Linked DNA regions of Arabidopsis thaliana. The protein of the gene in region 1 purifies or fractionates together with the protein of each later gene. This does not show direct contact. Each region holds a gene or a part of one and is shown on either strand. Other genes may lie near its edges.

Evidence for each region. Proteins that work in one complex are often made in the same cells at the same time.
Region 2: the proteins of VLN2 (region 1) and ALATS fractionate together in Arabidopsis thaliana (co-fractionation; one large-scale study listed by BioGRID). This does not show direct contact.

The regions. Positions count from the first base shown.
Region 1 is NC_003071.7:17,415,314-17,421,354, reverse strand, and holds the start of VLN2 (villin 2), read left to right. Parts: upstream 1-3,534; 5' UTR 3,535-3,909; exon of another isoform or gene 3,910-4,139; intron 4,140-4,408; 5' UTR 4,409-4,476; coding exon 4,477-4,526; intron 4,527-4,647; coding exon 4,648-4,747; intron 4,748-4,873; coding exon 4,874-4,942; intron 4,943-5,042; coding exon 5,043-5,279; intron 5,280-5,370; coding exon 5,371-5,548; intron 5,549-5,668; coding exon 5,669-5,801; intron 5,802-5,948; coding exon 5,949-6,041. UniProt on the Arabidopsis thaliana protein: Ca(2+)-regulated actin-binding protein. Involved in actin filaments bundling. Caps the barbed end of actin filaments and is able to sever them in a calcium-dependent manner. Required for the construction of actin collars in pollen tubes.
Region 2 is NC_003070.9:18,595,563-18,601,603, forward strand, and holds the start of ALATS (Alanyl-tRNA synthetase), read right to left. Parts: upstream 2,918-6,041; 5' UTR 2,750-2,917; coding exon 2,455-2,749; intron 2,190-2,454; coding exon 1,951-2,189; intron 1,646-1,950; coding exon 1,505-1,645; intron 1,153-1,504; coding exon 1,006-1,152; intron 799-1,005; coding exon 646-798; intron 256-645; coding exon 126-255; intron 1-125.

The DNA of each region.
Region 1 (6,041 bases):
CCTTTTAGTACCGATGTTATAATATATAGATGCCTAATTCCTAAAGCACACAAGTTCAATCATTAAAACCGTTTCCTGTAAATTCATATTCCTTTTTACGGTCCATATTCGAATTGGAGATCAAAATAAGTCTGACTTACTATTTTGAATGAAGAAATGTATTGTTGGTTGCTAATCGATATCGTTGGTCGTTGTCCGAATAACTTCAAAACAAACATGATCTATGCTACGTAATACGTACGGCACAAATACTAATTTCAGAATTAGATAAATTCTGAATTGAAAGCTCGAAACTTGTTAGTCAAGAAAAAAGAGATGAAACTGCTAAGTTACGATTTCAACTTTAATTTGTTTAGGTTGAATCTTACTTAATTACATTAGTTTTGGCCCTGCTCAAAGAATAAACCGAGCCTGTTCATTCTATGCAATCGGAAATATCTGATCGAAACTCCTATCATCTCTTTATAGAGTTTACTTAAAAAATATATATATTTTTGATACCGATTATATATATATCAACCATACATAGTATATTTCTCGAAATTTTAAAACATATAATTTCTTTCATTTCATTCGGTGTGGACATTGCACTCTCTTTATTCATTTTTACGTTTTCCTTAATTTACGATGGAGTGACCTTCAATTATAATTTTTATTCATTTCTTGATGGTATAGTACAAGTTAATAACTTTTATCTGTTTTCGATATTTATTGTTTGTTTACGTGAAGTTGACCTGGCAACACACAAAATAAAACAATGATCGATTTATCAAGTATAGCAACTTTGTTTTGAACACCTTAAAAAAACATTCACTGATATATTGTGAAATAGGCTACGGGAGAGGGATTTGGATCCTAGTTAAGTGCATGGTAGTCGAAAGTCTGTTATGTACCATCGGTCATATAGAAGCTACACTTTGTACCCTTTTTTTTTGGGAGGTTTCAAGTCAAGTGTATCATATGCGAATGAGACTATCAAAAAGGAGAGATATAAATGGAAAACGGTACGGTGAACTTTTAAATGCATAATTATATTAGTCAAGTAGAGAAGTTTGTAAGAGTTTGAACAAACTCTAGTTGGCAAAGCATTGATGGAATGATGGTAGCTGATTCTGAAATTTCTTCTTCTATGTATTTACGAATACGATTATATACATGACATAACTTTTTTTTTTCCTTCTTTTTTTTTGAGTTGAAAACGAGAGTAGAGAAAAAAGGAGTATTATCCATCCATGACATCTGCCAAAAGCCTAAAAGTAGAAAAGAAGGCTGTTCTCTATTTATCTGGTTATTGTATTTCATTCATGATTGTTGTTTTTCATGTTAAAGAGTATATTATTACGAAGAAATACTATAGTGTATTCTTTTAATATACGAAAAGTGCATATCCTTCAAAAAGGAGTTGAATCGTGCAAATTCACATGCTAAAAAGGACATCGTGTCATGCTGAAATAGCGAATGATGAGACCAATCTCTCCAAATCAAATAATTTATTCCGAAATACTTTTCTTTTTTACAACATTCTATATGATATTAACTATGTATAATGAATTTGGATAGTTTTTTTTAATTTGTGTTAAAAGATCTTATACGGTCTATTCTACACCTACATAGGTTATATCCAAATCAAGTATGATTTCACCTATCTTTTCTTGCAAATATTTGCATCATTTTTTTGTTAATGTTTATATATAACTAGGTCTAGGTTGGTAGCTATTTATGGTACAACAAATCCAATAAATGTATGTAAGTATATATATATATATATATATATAAGTTTAGATGCAATATATATTTCAAGACAAAAATTAGCGACGTTTCCAATTGTATAATGATGACCTATTTTTTTCCATGTATATTATATTAAAATCCAAAATATTGGTAATATATTAATTAAAATAGCTAAAAATAGATAAATTTTTTTTTTTTATTGTTTGCGAAGGTCTTTAAAGGTCGGTACTACCGAAAATCCAATCCGTTGGATAATATTAAATTATATTCTCCATCTTATGGATGAAGAAGTATTGTTTCTGATCGATCTCTGGTTAACAAAGGATTTATTAAAAGAGTCGGTTTTGGGGCGTCCATTTCAGTTTAGGAGGATTCGTGGATTCCAACTCAATTCCCGAGACCAGCAAAAAGTAATGGCTCAGTTATTGATCCATGCCTAAAAGTTCAAAGTCTTATTGACACTCGAACAAATTTCTGGAAGATTGACTTATTAAATGAGCTTTTTGTCCCAGAAGATGTTTCACTAATAAGTGCTCTGCACTTGGGTGCGTCAACTACGGAGGATACTCTTGGTTGGCACTTTACAAAGTCCAGAAAATATTCAGTTAAATCTGGATATCATACGGCAAAGCTAGAAACTTTGGATGTAAATGTTTCCTTTATTGGGCCAGACATCAAAGCTTTAAAAGCTTTCATTTGGAAAGTGCAGTGTCCGCCCAAATTGCGTCATTTTTTGTGGCAGACTCTAGCGGGTTGTGTGCCGGTTACAGATAATTTACGGAAAAGAGGTATTAATTGTGATTCAGGGTGTGTCTGATGTGGTAACGTAGAGGAAACAATTAATCATGTACTTTTCCAATGTCACCCTGCGCGACAGATATGGGCCCTTTCACAGATTCCTTCGGCGGCAGGAATATTTCCATATGCCTCTATTTATGCGAATTTGGATTATTTATTTTGGAGGATTATTTCGGATTTTGATTCTTTTTCATACCCATGGATAATTTGGTATATTTGGAAGGCAACGAATGAAAAGATTTTTGACAATGTCGATAAAGATCCCTTAAAGGTATTATGTTTCGCAAAAAGTGAGGCACAGTCATGGAAGTCAGCTCAAATTGAGTTGCATGTTGAAAATCATGAAACTCCTAATTTCGGATCTAGGAGTAGAGCGAGGGATATCTATCCTGATATCAATTTCTTGGGATATCGTTGTTACGTGGATGGGTCATGGAAAAAAGACGATTTTTTCTCTGGGACAGGATGGTACTGTACATCAGCAATTGGAGAGACGCCAACAATGGGAGCAGCAAACCTTAGACGAAGTCTATCCCCACTACATGCCGAAGTGGAAGCTCTTCTATGGGCGATGAAGTGCATGATTGGCGCCGACAATCAAGATGTTGTGTTTCTCACAGACTGTTCGGATCTGGTGAAGATGATGTCTTCCCCAACCGAATGACCGGCTTTCTCAGTGTATTTGGAGGAATTGCAGAGTGACAAGAAAAAATTTTCAAGTTTTTTTTTATCTTTAATTTCTCGTAGTGCAAATGTCAAAGCGGATAATTTGGCGCGTAAAGTTCGTGTCCAACCGCATCATATCACTTATGTAAACAAAATTCTTCAGGAATGGCTCTTTTGAGCTCTAATTAATTTTGGATGACAAAAAAAAAAAAAAAATATTTTTACAGTTATTACCATAATTTCGAAAAAACAATATGTATTAAATTTGGGATTAATGTGGATTTTTGGAATTAAAAGTGTGGTAAAGAAAGAAAAAGAAAAAGGCAAAACAAGATTGGTCGGGAGGAAATTGAATCACGACCGGATCTAATTTACTTGGCCTTAAAAATTGACAGACTCTTCTTTAAACGTCTTTTCTCAAAACTTTGTCTCCCTCCTCTATATTCTTCGTCTTCGACCTCGTCGTCTGGCAGTAATTCAATCTCTCTCTCTCTCTCTCTACTGTAATAAATCTAAGGAAACAAAAAACGTTACGAAAGAAAAAGCATTAAAAAGAAAAGCTTTAGAGAGAAAAAAAACACAGCTCACAACCTCTTTTCAATTATTCAATTTAGCTTTTTTTCTCTTCTTCTTCTTCATCTTCCCTCGTCTTCTTTGCCAGTTCTTCTTCATCTTTCGTCGTTTTCTTAGTGCCACCCAAAGATCTTCGTGCAGGTTCGTACTTCTTTCTACCTCGATCGATTTTGACTAAATGTATGGATCATCTGATTTCCGATTTGATCGTGGTTGTTCCTTGCTCTGTTTCATGATCTGTGAATCTGAGTTTCTCGATCTGGCTGCGTCTTTTTCGGAAAAGTCGAGAATTTTTTCCTGCTGGGTCTTCTGAATCACATTTGATCAATTCCTGGAAATCGCAAAGTTTTGAGTTTTTCTAATTTCTAAAGGTTGATCGAGCCAAAATCCTTTACGTGTCTGTGTCTGACTCTCTGTAGACCTTTCCTGTTTCTTGATCACTAGCTAGCTTTCGAGATTGGATTTAAAATTTTCTAGATGAATCTCAAATTATAATTACAGAATTGACCAATGCTTTGCTTGAGAAACAGTCCAAGAAGAAATGCTTGAGATCCTTCATCTCCAAGTAAATGGGAGGATTTGGTTGATTATCTGCTCATTTTCTTAACTTTGTTCCGTATTTTTTTTTTTGACTCAACAGGTTCATTGGCGTTTGTAGTACATAAATTTTCCCTGACACACAGAAAAAGAGGATTTGACTGTTATACAATGTCAACAAAAGTGTTGGATCCTGCATTTCAAGGAGCTGGCCAGAAACCGTATCCTTTCAGCTACATAACTACTTTCCCATTAGTGTTTGATATCAAATGAGCAATCTAATTATGTTCTTCCTGAATGTTTGGACTGTTTGAGCTTGTGAACCTTAACTTTTGTTATTAGAGGGACTGAAATCTGGAGAATTGAGAATTTTGAGGCAGTTCCTGTACCAAAGTCTGAGCATGGAAAGTTCTATATGGGAGATACTTACATTGTCTTGCAGGTTTGTAATTCTTTTCTTTGCTCTTTTCTTTCCTCTGTTTTCTGTGTTCTATAAAAATATTTAGTTATGATCTCTTACAAGACAGACTAACTTATGTTTGAGAAATGTTATCTTCCCTTTGCGCAGACAACACAGAATAAAGGGGGTGCTTATTTGTTTGATATACATTTCTGGATTGGTAAAGATACAAGCCAGGTACTTATCTCCAAGACTCTTTTATTTAGTAAAGACTGTTTTTGGAAGAGAATGCAAAGGTGAAACTGTGTTTTACTAAATTATGGTTTGATGATTTTAGGATGAAGCTGGAACAGCAGCTGTTAAAACAGTTGAACTCGATGCAGTTCTTGGAGGCCGTGCTGTCCAACACCGGGAAATTCAGGGTCATGAATCTGACAAATTCTTGTCTTACTTCAAGCCATGTATTATACCCTTAGAGGGTGGTGTTGCGTCTGGTTTCAAAACAGTTGAAGAAGAGGTGTTTGAGACCCGGTTATATACTTGCAAAGGAAAACGTGCAATCCGTTTGAAGCAGGTTTTAACCATTGTACTCTCCTTGTATTAGAACGAGTGAACGGTGATTACCAATGTACATCAACTTTTTCTTCTGTTCCTCTTTTTTGCAGGTTCCTTTTGCCCGCTCATCACTGAATCATGATGATGTATTTATCTTGGACACCGAGGAAAAGATCTATCAGTTCAATGGTGCAAATTCAAACATTCAGGAGAGAGCCAAAGCTTTGGAAGTCGTTCAGTATTTAAAAGACAAGTATCACGAAGGAACTTGTGATGTTGCGATTGTTGGTAAGCCAATTGCACCTTCTTCCTCAGTTTCCTTTAAGTCAATGAACAGTGTTTTAATACTTAAAGAATAGGTTTTGTGTGTGGAAACTTATCTATATTCATACTTTCCTGCTATAACAGATGACGGAAAATTAGATACAGAATCAGATTCTGGTGCATTTTGGGTCCTCTTTGGTGGTTTTGCTCCAATCGGAAGGAAAGTTGCCAATGATGATGACATTGTCCCGGAGTCAACTCCACCTAAGCTTTATTGGTCTGTTAATTTCTAATTTTGTCTTCTTGATATAATGCATGCCATCCTGATACTTATATCTTCTGCAGTAGTACCTATTTTAAAATTTACTTAATAGATTATTATGATAGAGTTATTGATTGATATGTTGTTGCTGTTTAACTTTAGCATCACTGATGGTAAGATGGAACCAATAGACGGTGACCTATCCAAATCTATGCTGGAAAACACTAAATGCTACCTCTTGGACTGTGGCGCTGA
Region 2 (6,041 bases), on another chromosome or scaffold:
ATGAACCAAAAACACTTTTTCTGAGAACATATAAGTATGAACTCAAATAAATGATTGAATACTAAGACGATTGTATTTTCTGTAACCACCACAATTGTGATTGAGACAAGAAACCAAGTATATACCAGGACGAGAGCCATCCGCAATTGCAAATGATAGGGTTCTAATATGATCAGCAACCACTCTATATGCCATGTCAACTCTGTCAACATCTTCCGGACCAACTTTTCCAGAATATGGCCTAGCTCCCGTTGCCTAAAAAAGTGAAAGCATCAACACCTAAACTTAAGATTCGCAACAACTAGGGTAAACAGAGCAATTTGAAGATTTTTTCAATCCTCTCACTAAGAAAAATACATGAAAAGTGACACAGCTAACAACGAATAATCTCCAGGATACCCATAGTAGAATGCCTTTATCATGAAATCCAAATTCAATAAACCAGAAATATTCAAAAACAATTGACGGAGTCTCGACGTAAAGCATAGAACCCATGATCCACTTCAAAATTGATGAACTAAAATGATGATAGTACTAATTAAGGTGACAAATGCGTCCCTAAGAGGAGGCCAAACAAAAATAACTCAATGAAACCATCATTAAACAGCTGTCATGAAACCATCAACAGAAGTTTTCACAAATTACCTTTTGGATGTCATCAAAGATAGGCATGAACACATCTGTATCATAGTTGCTCATTTTGTTTTGAAGAACAGAAGTCAACCTCTCGAAGCCCATCCCGGTATCAACATGCTTAGCAGGCAGAGGTTTTAGCGAGCCATCACTTTCTCGGTTGAACTATTTTGAAGACATAAGTAACATCCCAGTCAGAGGAAACAATTGGGAATATGATAGCACAGCTAAAGGAGCAATAACAATCTAGCTAACTGCACAATATAGAGTTTTCAGTAACACAATCTACAAAATCATTAAAACAATTGTGATATTGAGATAAAGATTAGTAAAATGGAACTAAATAACAATTGGGACAGAGAGGGTTTGTACCTGAATAAAGACAAGATTCCATATTTCTAAACATGTTGGATCGTCATTGTTAACTAAGGATGCAGCATCACGGTTACCAATGCGATCATAATGTATTTCAGTACAAGGTCCACACGGACCTGTGTCGCCCATTTCCCAGAAATTGTCCTGCAGTTTAATCAAAAGTTAAATGAAAGAAAAACAGCATTTAAAAACCCTTAAGTTTTACATTTTGTACAAGATTTTGACTGTAAATCATAAACAATGGTTTTTAAAGCCTGCCAACTACCAAACATGATAGCGTATTCCTAGCCAAAATGCATTCAAGCTTACAGTTGGTTGTCGTTAGCATTGACAAACAGATGTGTCAATATATACAAGAAACAATGGTGACAATACAAAGGCAACTTAGCTGAAGTACTTGTGAAGTAACCTCAGGAGAGAGGAAATCAATGAGTAGTGGATTCAAAAAAATTAGGTAACAGATTAAAAGTTATTATCTTAAATAATCAATACATACTTTGCAACCAAATGGCAGCACACGTCCAGATGGAAGAACCTTCAACCATATATCCCTAGCCTCATTATCAGGTTGAAGGCCAGCTTTCTCATCACCGCCAAAATATGTAGCGTAGATTCGATCAGTCGGTAGCCCATAGACCTGAGGCATGAAAACAGGGAGGTATCAACCTCAATGAAATAAACAACCTCAACGAAAAGAGAATAGTAACTTTACAAAATTATGAAATACTGTCACAAGGTATCTAACTGAAATGTACAACCAAATGAAAAGAGAAGAATCACTTTACAAAACTGAAATGTACAACCAAATGAAAAGAGAAGAATCACTTAACAAAATTGAGACATACCGTCCCAAGGGAGGGAGACAATAGTTTACTGAATAATACCATGTATATTTTTCTTAAATCAAGTAAACAGAGACAAATTTCCCAGGTATTTAATTACCTTGGTTAAGAGCTCCCAAGCCCATTCGATAGCTTCCTTCTTGAAATAATCTCCAAAGGACCAGTTACCAAGCATTTCAAAGAAGGTGTGATGGTACGTATCTTTGCCGACATCATCCAAATCATTATGCTTTCCACCAGCACGAATACACTTTTGGGTGTTACATGCCCGAGATAGCTTGCTAAGCTCAGTATTTGGATCGGCCGTACCCAAAAATATTGGCTTATACTGGTTCATTCCTTGAAAAACAGAGAAGTTTCAATGTCATTAATAATTCTATTTTTCGCCAGACATATCAAGAGAACTTAATTTACATAGCTCAGTATCAATATCAGAAAATTTCGACCAAAACTGAAATTGAGAAATTTGAATAAGTCCCAAAGCTTCAAAGACAAAAGAAGACAGAATAAGTCAACTCTATAGAATCTGAATTCCATAGATCAACTTGGACAAATTCCCAATCTTATCGGCAAAAACAGATATGAGGAATCGAAGTTATCGTACCAGCGTTAGCGAAGAGAAGAGTAGGATCATTATGAGGAACAACGGGGCTTGATGGCCAGAACTTGTGGCCTTTGCCTCTGAAGAAATCGACATAAGTATCCCGGACTCTCTTTGCTGGCCACTGAGTCTCCGATGGTTCGGAACCCGGCATGACTGCGACGGAGGAAGACGTCGACGAAGAGGAAGAAAAACGGAAGTGAGAGAAAAAAGGGCGGCGGAGATGGGAAGAGTAAAAAACCCTAGACGGAGGTTTGGTTGAAGAAATCAGAAGAGAAGCTGCCTTCACTAATCTCATTCAAACCAATAAAAGACCTTCTCTCTCTCCTCCTATCCTATTTTCTACCGTTAAAATTTATTTAATCCGATTCCTTTTCCGCAAGATATATTATTTTAAGGGATAATACTTAAAAAATAAAAAAAGTAAAATTTGGAAAATACATTTTGTTCATCAAAGGATAACATTAAAAAAAAAACGAGAGTAAATTTTGGTTCTCGTTTAGATAAACTGTTGGGTTTGCTGCCACTAGCCGTGAGACTGCCTCGCATGTTATTGTTTGTTTCGTTGTTGTTGTTGCTGTTGTCGTTGCCGCAAGTTTTGAATTTGTTTTGCTGCTACTGTTGCAAATTTTTGTATTCGTTTCTCAGATAATACTATAGTTTTACACGTAATTTTTTTTTTTCCAATCAACCAAATGTAATTCTAATATATTTTTGTTACTTGAATTTTTTTCATATTTGAGTTTTTCTCTTTTTATTATGTGGATTGATATGATCTATATATAAAAATTATTCTTATTCTTGTTAAATATTAATCTAAATACTATTTTTATAGTATAAAAAATGAATGATATTATTTTGATGTAAACTACCTAAAATTTTATAACAATAATGAGTTTTTACGCTATTGATCAAATTGGGTTGGATGGATTTCTGTTACATATTGGTTACAGTTATTAAAAGGGAAAAATGTTATTTAATACCTCAACTTTCAAATTATGACAGTTTTATACGTTAACTTTATATATGGTCATTTTAAACATGAAGTTATCGTTGATCACCATTTAAACCATGAATATTTTATTGACCAGGCCAAAAAAATTAGTCGTTAACGGATTATTCAACTCCCGTTAACACCTCCATTAACCATTCTAAACGACGTCGTTTTCGTTTTTCTTTAAAAAGAAATGACAGACCTGGGATTCGAACCCCTATCATTTGAGAAAAATCAAAGGTCATTTGACCACTCTACCTGCAAAGATTTCTCTGTCATTCTATACAAACACAGATACTTATATACGCTTAAAGTTCTTCTTCTTCATCTTTAACGAAACAAAACATTTCCATAGTAAAGCTTCCATTGAAGAACACCTCCGATTTTGAACACTTCGATTTCTCCATGGACTTCTACCATTTAATACAAGCCTCATCAAGCACCCCTATTCATTGAAGAACACCTCCAAACCTTTTTTTCCCGCCAAAAAAAAAAAAATCCCGCCAAAAATAAATTTCCCGCCAAAATTTTTTCTCGTAAATTTTGTTTCCCAGCAAAAAAAATGCTTTTAAAAATCCTTGTAAATTTTTTAAAAACTCTTTTAAAAAACCTTGTAAAGTTTTTTAAAATCTTTGGTAATTGCTAAAAACCCTTGTAAATCATTTTAAAACCTCTTAAAATCTTTATAAAGTCTTTAAAAACATAGGTAAATACTTTAAAACCCCTTTTTAAACCTTTGTAAATCATTTTAAAACTTTTTACAATAGTTTTACAAGATTTACAATCGTTTTTTAAGCATAAGTAAGTGGCATTGAATGATTTACAAGGGATTTTGAAAACTTATAAAAGGGTAAAACATGATTTACAATCGTTTTAAAGCATAAGTAAGTGGCATAAAATGATTTACAAGGGATTTAAAAAAGGTTAGCATGGTTTACAATCGTTTTTTAAGCATAAGTAAGTGGCATTGAATGATTTACAAGGGATTTTAAAAGCTTATAAAAGGGTAAAACATGATTTACAATCGTTTTTAAAGCATAAGTAAGTGGCATTGAATGATTTACAAGGGATTTTAAAAGCTTATAAAAGGGTAAAACATGATTTACAATCGTTTTTAAAGCATAAGTAAGTGGCATTGAATGATTTACAAGGGATTTTAAAAGCTTATAAAAAGGTAAAACATGATTTATCATCGTTTTTAAAGCATAAGTAAGTGGCATAAAATGATTTACAAGGATTTTTAAAAAGGGCTAGCATGGTTTACAATGTTTTTTTAAGCATAAGTAAGTGGCATTGGAATGATTTACAAGGGATTTTAAAAGCTTATAAAAGGGTAAAACATGATTTATAGTAACGAAAACGACATCGTTTAGAATGGTTAACGGAGGTGTTAACGGGAGTTGAATAATCCGTTAACGACTATTTTTTTTGGCCTGGTCAACGAAATATTCATGGTTTAAATGGTGGTCAACGATAACATCATGTTTAAAATGACCATATATAAAGTTGACGTATAAAACGGTTATAATTTGAAAATTAGGGTATTAAATAACATTTTTCTCGTTATTAAAAAGCAATATATCTCTGCAAATGGACACACCAAAAAGCCAAACACAATTTGATCAAATTACCATCATTACTCCAAATTATCATCGTTATTCAAAGTATTTCAAAGTTAAGACATAAGTTCGCAAGAAGACACTTCACATATCCAGCTACAGATGATAACTGGATGAACCTGTAAGAAATAAAAAGTTAAAAATGAAAGTCAGATACATCAACAAGAACCAGTACTAATTCGATTAGAGTCATTCACATCTAAAATCAATCTGAGTCCAGTTTTCAAAGAACACAGTTTCAATCACAGAGAGGCAGAAAAAACATACTTGATCAAGACCAAAAACTCCAAGAAATGTTGCAAGTTATGTCTTCAGTAGACAAAATAGATGCATATAATAAGAGACTAGCCATAGAGAATACTTGTGATATAAGAAGAAATCTGCAAAAAAAGAAGAAAAAATATTATTATTTTTACAGAAGGAAAAAAGATCTCGGATGAACTGATTCAGAAAAGTATTTGGACACAGAAAACTAGTAGTCGTTCATCAACGACGGAAGTAACTCCCTAGTTGCAGCAACTGCGTACCGCATATCCCTTAAGAGTTGTTTCTTTTCCAGCTGCTCATTTACAATGGTGACAAACTTGAGAACAAAAGAGAAGCTAACCTCAATATGCAGCATTGGTCGCTTTATATGCTGATCCCAGGGGTGTGCTTCATGAGCAACAATTGAAGCTAACATGTGAAGAGAGTTGGGAGCTGTTGGAGAAAATTTCATTATCTGGAAGAGAAAATATAGGTAATCATTAGGCTCTAATCTTTCTGCAGCATATATACTATCATACTTGACACACTTATTCACCTGATATGCAGAGCCAATGTTGGTTAAGAAAATGGAGGAGATTGGGAAGCAGATAATTGTAAGGTGTGGAGGTTTACCTCTAGCTATAACAGTTCTTGGAGGATTTCTGGCAATGATAAGTACATGGAACGAGTGGCAAAGAGTATATGAGAACATCAAATCATATGTTTCAAAT